Bombyx mori: one gene and its partner. The protein of the gene in region 1 interacts with the protein of each later gene in a biochemical or structural test. Links are inferred from orthologs where the notes say so. Each region holds a gene or a part of one and is shown in the gene's direction. Other genes may lie near its edges.

The links.
Region 2: the proteins of egl nine homolog 1 (region 1) and peptidyl-prolyl cis-trans isomerase FKBP8 form a complex in vitro, tested with the Homo sapiens proteins (2 studies listed by BioGRID, with this or other methods). The link is inferred for Bombyx mori from reciprocal best matches to the Homo sapiens genes EGLN1 and FKBP8.

Annotation. Positions count from the first base shown.
Region 1 is NC_085131.1:9,875,683-9,879,515, reverse strand, and holds part of egl nine homolog 1, read left to right. Parts: intron 1-179; coding exon 180-319; intron 320-913; coding exon 914-1,030; intron 1,031-2,587; coding exon 2,588-2,699; 3' UTR 2,700-3,833. UniProt on the Homo sapiens protein: Cellular oxygen sensor that catalyzes, under normoxic conditions, the post-translational formation of 4-hydroxyproline in hypoxia-inducible factor (HIF) alpha proteins.
Region 2 is NC_085125.1:9,573,459-9,577,941, forward strand, and holds the start of peptidyl-prolyl cis-trans isomerase FKBP8, read left to right. Parts: upstream 1-1,511; 5' UTR 1,512-1,695; intron 1,696-1,839; coding exon 1,840-2,031; intron 2,032-2,441; coding exon 2,442-2,585; intron 2,586-3,619; coding exon 3,620-3,882; intron 3,883-4,483. UniProt on the Homo sapiens protein: Constitutively inactive PPiase, which becomes active when bound to calmodulin and calcium. Seems to act as a chaperone for BCL2, targets it to the mitochondria and modulates its phosphorylation state.

The DNA of each region.
Region 1 (3,833 bases):
TGATGTTCGGGCCAGTATCAAAATGTTGAAAAAAAGATGAGATTAATTATTGTTGGTTTGGTTTTTAACCGTATTTATGCGTGTTTTTTTTAAAGGTTTTAAACAACATATTATGTTATTTGTTAGTGCTGTGGTAATCAAACAACATGTAATTAATTAATTAAAATAATTCGCTACAGGCCATGGTAGCGTGCTACCCAGGACTTGGCAGCCATTACGTGAAGCACGTAGACAACCCCAACAAAGATGGCAGGTGCATCACCGCCATATATTATCTAAACCTGGACTGGGACGTGAAACGATACGGTGGACTACTCAGGTAAATAAATATATGTAGTTGCTTTAATAATTTTATTCTAAGCACAGTTATAATATGGTAGGACCTCTTATGAGTCCACACGGGTAGGTACCACCGCCCTGCCTATTTCTGCCGTGAAGCAGTAATGCCTTTCGGCTTGAAGGGTGGGGCAGCCGTTGTAACTATACTGAGACCTTAGAACTTATATCTCAAAGTGGGTGGCAACCATTTAAGCAATAAAAATTTTTTATCGCGGCATTGGATTGGTCACACATTAAGAAAGCCTGCTATCCACCAATCCAAGAGAGCACTGACCTAGACAGTGTCTGGCAAAACGAAGAGAGGCCGGCCCAGAACAACTTGGTGTCGCTCGATGGAGGAACTGGGCGTCTTGGGCATGACATGGGAGGAGTTAGAACAGACTGCCCAAGACCGATGCAAATGGATGAATTTGATTCGAGCCCTACACCCCAACAGAGGGTAATAGGAAAGAAAGAAGATTTTTTTTAAAAACATCGTAGCAAAAACAGTAGATCTAAAAAGAAATAGACAGCATCGAAAATATTACATATTTTTGTAGCTTAGCTAAATTGCATTAATAATAATTGGTTCCAGGGTGTTCCCGGAAGGTACCAATCAAGTGGCCGATATAGCACCGATATTCGACCGGATGCTTTTCTTCTGGTCGGATCGCCGAAACCCACACGAAGTCCAACCCGCCTACAGCACCAGGTATTACTAGACATGTGAAATATTTCATTCCAATAGATTCTCGACGTACGATTTTTAAGATGAAAAGAAACAACAAATATAGGAACTACTAGCTGTACCTGTCCGTTTCGCTGGGCATTTATAATTAACATTATTATTTCTCTCCCCCACAAAGATTCTCATCATTAACGCCTCCGCAACTGATGTAGGGAGTCCAAAACTCATATAAATATTAGCCTATCCATTAAGTACATGTATTTTCTACATGGATACCAAGTTTGAAGTCAATCGGATGCACGGTTCAGTAGTTATAACGGAACATCCGTAAAAACCACTATAGATTTTTATATTAGTATAGATTATCATACATTTTTAATCCACTTTAGATTTGCATCTACATCAAACTACTTTTCTTAAACTTAAAGTACTTTTCAAAGTATATTTCTGTATCATATGATATTCTGTGCATGAAATCCACACTGAATATTATAAAAGCGAAAGTGAATTTGCTTGACACGCTTTCGCATCTTAACTACTCTACCGATCAACATGACTACAACGATGGCACCAGCCACAGCGCAGGGCATTGTGCTCGTCGAAGAGTTCGAGCTGATACTTTGCCCGTGACGTCATCTCCTTAGGGTGCAAGTCTTCCTTCGGAAGTGCTCAGATAGCGATTCATATTCACAGTAAAAATATTATTTCGTAGGGAGGTATTTTTTCTATGTATTAACGCAAATGAAAGCCTCCGTTAAAGCTTACTTATCTGTGTGCTTAGTGCGAGTTTTTTAACGTACTCGATAGCGTAAAAGGTTAATTTGTATAGAGTTGAAACGTTTACCTACGTTTGCCGCTAGGGGCGCTGTTCCAAGCTGCATACAAATTTGAATTAACTCTTACGCTATCGAGTACGTTAAAAAACTCGCACTAAGCATACTGTATAGCCTTAAGCCAACCACAAAACTATAGATAAGACGACGAATATAATACCGATATGTTTAAAACCGAACGAATGTATTCCGAACGACAATCATCAGTAGCTTAATGACTAGTAAATCATTATCAGTAAACAACGCGTATTATGTCGGAATTCTGTCGCATAAAGGAATGTGCAAAACAGCAAGGCGATTGCATGCAGCAGAGATGCGAATGTTGCGATGGATGTGTGGAGTAACGAGAATGGATAGAATACGGAATTAATATGTTAGAGGAAGTCTGAAAGTGGCACCTGTGACAGAGAAGCTGAGAAGTGCGCGTTTGGGATGGTATGGATATGTGATGAGACGAAATGAAAAATAGATTGGTAAGAGAATGTTAACTATGAATGCGGAAGGATATAGAGGAAGAGGTAGATCTAAGAAGAAATGGATGGATTGCGTGAAAGACGATATGGGTGAGAAGAGAGTGAGTGAAGAAATGGTATATGATAGAAGAGTATGGAAGGAGAAAACATGTTGCGCCGACCCTAGGTGTCTGGGAGAAGGGCAGGATAGTTATATGAAAGGAATGTGCAAAACAAGTGCTTTATCACACTTAATACTAAGTATCCGATTATATTCAAATCACCATTCGTTACAGATACGCAATAACACTGTGGTACTTCGATGCTCACGAACGAGAAGAAGCCCTTAGGAAATACAGTAAGTATAGATGTTTAGAAAATTTGACCTTTAATGTTTTTTGTTTTTAATGTTGCGGCTTTTAGTCCTTGAAGTCAAATTTCACATTACTCTGTCGTGAACCATGAATTTCAATTGTGTTGTAAAGTAGCTGTATTGCCCTTCAGTCGGGAACTAGTTTTGCAACAGACATGAGTTAATGCTACCTACCTTTGAAGAATCAGAATACGGCCAATGAAATAACTAATCGTTAGAAAATAATCCTTGTAAAATAGTGTGTATTTTGAGTTTAATTGATTTCGAAAAATTCCGGGAAGCCGTGCCCAGGGATTCTGTATGATTCTTCTACGGTTTCAGAAAATCTTCGTGGCCTAAAAATAATACGATCGTATCGAGCGATACGACTGTACCGGTATTTGAATCCCGCCCAATTTTTCTAATGAAATATGTACGTACTTAACAAATTCTCACGAATGTCTTCCACGATGAAGGAATAACATCGCGTCATAAAAATTTAACCCGCAATAATAATAATGCTCCAGTAAACACTTAACATTAGGTGGGCTGTGAGCTCGTTCATCCATCTAAGAAACAAATCAATAAATAAAAACAAACAGTTCATTAGTCATTGTTATTGCAGCGATATTGCCTTTTGAACATAGCTTTTGAAAAAGTACTTTTCCAATGCTCTATTGGTATCTGAACCTCATATAGTAGGTAGCACCTCGTAGTTTGCCTATTACTCACTGGGCCATTATCTCATCTACTTAACCACGCTATAAGATGCTGAAATGTTTGCTTTAATCAAGTGCATAAGAGCATAAGTGCGGGACGTCCTTAAGAATATCGTAGACAAGAATTCTGATTACATTTTCCTTGTTTGATTTCAAAGGGGAAAACCGTAGTAATATTGCGCAACACAGTGCGCCTTCTCGATGCACCTCTATAATGTTTCTGACACACGATTTGCGTGCAAATAATTTTTGTATGCATAAAATTGCCCAAGCGAAATAAAAAACACATTAGCTGTTTGTAATTTCCCAAAATACGTTAACATACTTTACATACGCGACACATAATACGTTTTCGTTATTATATTTTACTATAGCTGACCCGGCAGACTTCGTAGTGCCTCAATCGATAAATAAAAAAACCTAAACTTTTGTATAAAATAAACTTAGAACGAACAAAAGTAATTCGTCCGA
Region 2 (4,483 bases), on another chromosome or scaffold:
GTTCGTTGTCACATAATGTCGCATAAAGCATTTGGATTGTTTTGATCTCACGTAAACAATCGAACTATAACAGTTCCTTTAAGCTGTTATTCAATACTAAACTTTATCCAGCCAGTAACCTGATAATATTATTTACGTCATAAATTGATGTAATAAACGGTAACCCAAACGTTCGACTGAACGGGTCGTACGAACCGGATCATTTTGTCAACAGGTCAGTACCGTAAAATGGGGCGATTAGGGACAAATTCCAACTTTATGAGCAATTTTAAGGTAGTTGTTGATGTATATAATGCTATATCAGGATCAAAATGATTGAGTCTTGGGGGCATCTTTGTTGTCTAATTTAAAAATAAGCAACTAGCATTCCAGTTTAAGCAAAAAATGCAAAAATAGGTGTAATCCCTATTTACCCGAAAATTGCGGTTAATTGGGACGAAATGAGAAATTTGCTAGGGTTGGCACTACTTTTATTTTTATATATAGTTTTAATTTATTTATTTATTTAGTTGCACCAACAAAGTGATCATCAATAAAAAAAATTGAAAAACTGACAAAAGTACATGGCAGACATCACCTCAATTATAGGTGCAATCGACAGTGCAGTAACAACAAAATATATATATATATATATATATATATTTACACATATATAGTGGGCTTTCTTAGAAACGGTTTATATTTCTCCGTTCTTGGTAAGTACTTAGGGGGCTGATATTTCTATCTGGGTTAAGAGATTAGGTGTGTCGGTTATTCCATGGATTAATCAGATGAATACCCCCACTCTGAACAAATATTAAATATTCTATTATGTATTACTGAAACATTTTTGTCACCTTGAGATTTCATTGATCTTGTTACATGTCTCTGCAAAATCGACTTACTTATATTAAATTGCTTATCTATTTCAACTAAAGACTTATTCCCAATTTCGCTTCGATAAACCAGATTTTTACCAACAAATTTAAAAAAGATTGTTATAACTACATAGACAACCCTACAAACCTGTACCTATTTATACTTAGGTCGTTTCCATTTCACGTATTCTCATCCCAATTGACCCCTTTTTCGTTGTTATTTGTACCTAAGACGTCCCCAATATCCCCAAGAACAACAGATTTTTACATGTATTTTTATTTAATCAAATACATTAAAACCAATAACAACTGAGACTTACCTTTAATATATATGCTGGTTCAAACACTAAATAACGTTTATAAATCATAGTCGTCTTCTATTATTATCAAATAAATAAAAGAGAGCAAAGTTTCTAGCACTAAAATAATTACCACCACAGGAAGTTAATTTGAAACGCGATTTTTTATAAGTTAGCAGCTATTATCATGCATATTCAGAGTTGTTTTGTGAACTTTCAACATTCTACTATTAAACTACAAAAAAATGGAAGATTTTGCAACGAATATAAAACTTATATTGAGCGTCGAAAGATTTTCCCGGTTTTTTCCCGATTCGCCTTTCAATCCCTAATCGCCCCATTTTACCGGTACTGATCTGAATCTCTAAAATTGAACGAACGACACATATCTAGTGGTCACACTGAATCAAAGCCAAAAACTTGAATTGTCATACTGTCAAATATTCTCTGATTTATTTGTACCTACTTGTTACCTAGTTTTGTTGTGTGTTAATATATAAATATTATCTGTTACTTTCGCTTTCTAGAAACTTTTAAAGGTAAGAGTAAGATAAATGTCCTCTTGATAAATTCAAGTTGCGATGTCGATAAGATGTTTTTCAACATGAAAATAGTTGATTGAATGATAAACATTAACTACGTATTATCTTTACGATCGAACAAACACCACGCTTTATTTACAGATGAGTGAAGAAAGCAAAGCTTTGACGGACAAGTCTGAAAGCAGCTCTTTCGAAGACTTAGCGGCTGCGGCTGCTGAGGAGATCGAGGAAGCGAAACTTGCCGAAGCTGCCGCAGCAGAGAAGGAAAAATCCCCAGAAGTAAAGAATGACGAATGGCAAGATGTTCTTGGGTCCGGAGCTCTGCTTAAAAAGGTTGCTTAAAGTTTAAAAATATTAATCTAAACTTCTTCTTTAAATCAATAGATTAAATAAATAAAAATTTAATTTCGTTCATTACTTAACGATTTATTCACCGAAAAGTTTTTATAATGGGATAAAAAAAACTAAAACCCATAATTTTAATATAAAAAAAAATAACTGTACATGAGGCAAATTTAAAATATTTCAAATATATTTTCCGCTTTTAATTTTTTATTCCAAATTAAACAAGGAAACTTGTATCCAAAGTCTTAATAAAAAGAAGAAAATGTTTAATGGTTAAAATCAAATGCATAAAGTAGTAAAATCACCTCGGAAATTGCATCAATTGACTAAAACTTACAAGAGTATTCTACTGTGGAACATTTGCTACATTTCAAAGCAAAAGAAACTCCCATTTGCAGATATTGAAACAAGGGGATGAAATATCTGGATCCAGACCACAAAGAGGGGACATATGCAGAATCAGCTATGAACTCAAAATAAAAGACAGTAACAACATTGTGGAGAAAAGAGATCAGATAAAAATATATTTAGGAGACAATGAGGTGAGTTAAAACTGATTCTAATATATATTATCTAATAAAGTTTTTTGAAGTGAACTGAAATAATCCTAGAGTCATTAATGTTGACACTGATTTTGGTTTTGTGGTTGGATGATGAGGTTTATCACCCATGTACTAGCGATAGACATTCCAAAACAAATTTAATAATTATGAATAATCTGTGTGAAGATGATTAAAAAAAAGCTTTAGGGCTGCTAATATGAAGCTTTGTCATTTCCAGAAGTTCTTGTTTCTTATTATTCACAGATAATATATTGATGATAATTTTTGGGATTATGAATATATTTAGTACATTTTATCAGTTTCTGCCTTTGAGGGTTTATAGTAAAAAGTATCTTGTAAAGTAGGTGATGCAAAGACTAAAAATGTTTTAAATTTAGGTATATTTTTGTGTTAAAGATCTATTATTTGTTCTTATCAGAAATCTGTTGTGAGCGATATCTTTTCCTTGATTTACTTATATGCATTACTTTATATACTGTAATATGATGGCCATATTGATTAGATAATTTTTGTTTGCATCTTATAAAATTTAAGACTATAGAAATGAATGCATGAAAGTTTTGCAAAAGTGATGAATAGCATTTGAAATCTATATGTCAGTTAAAAATATTCAAAAATATAATTTTATTCAGAAATGAATGATTTTGTAACTTTATATTTTTTTTAGTAAGATGTATTTATATTGTTTCATAATCATTATTATTTATGGGTATTTATAGGATGTATTTATTGATTTTGAGAATTTAAGAATTAAATCATATTTTTGCAGTTTTCTTCTGAGAGGTTCCACTAACCTACTGTCTTTCTTTTTAGGAATGTGTTCCCTTGCACTCTATACATATTGCAAACCAACAAAAAATAACCATAAACATTACAGCAACTATAAACTAATTATAGACGAAAAGTATCTAGGGCAGTTTTGTTCCTAAATAATATCTCTTCTATATAATTGAGTAAAATTATTTTAACTAAAACAACTGAAACTGTTTCATTAAATAAATTTAATATTTTAGGTATTGCAAGGTTTGGACCTAGCATTAACTTTAATGTACAGAGGTGAGGAATGTATTTTGCAACTTGCTCCAAGATTTGCCTATGGAGAAATGGGACTTAAACCAGGTGAGAGCCTTGGATTAGTCGGACAGTGTGATGAACCCAAGTATAAAGGACCTATTATTGGACCAGACACATGGCTTGAAGCCAAATTAGTGCTGCATGATTGGTCAGAAGAACCTGAACACGATGTATTGTCAATAGCGGAAAAAATGGAAATCGGGTAATGTATTTATGTTTCTGTTTCAACTATAATATAATTTTCTACTTTTAATTTATAGCTAAACTAAAATAGAACTAAAAAAAAATATTTCAATTTAATGTTGCTATTATGATTTTACCAGTAGGATACGTAAGCAAAGAAAAACTCATGAAAGTTATGTTGAATTACAATAGTTGTTGGATTTTAAGTTCATAATTAGAATATCCACAGAATAAAGCTTGTGTATTATTTAAAATATATACTACGGCACTGCACTACTAATGCATAGGTTAATGAGCTCCTAGCTCACCTGGTCTTTAGTTTTAAAACCAGAATGCCACCACCCACCTTGAGATATGGGATTGAAGTGTCAATAGTATTGTATAACAGCCTTTTTATTGTTCCATGATTCAGACATAAATGGTGTTGACTACCCTTTCTGACTCACAATGGGCCTCTAACTTATATTTTTTAATTATGATTTTATACCTAAAATATTCAATTATGTTAATTTTGTAGTCTAAATTAGCAAATACGTTGATTTCATAATGCCCTTGAATAATGTTGATATAGCTCAGAATAATATTATCAAGGTCCCACCAAATGTTGCAATAGTTGGTTA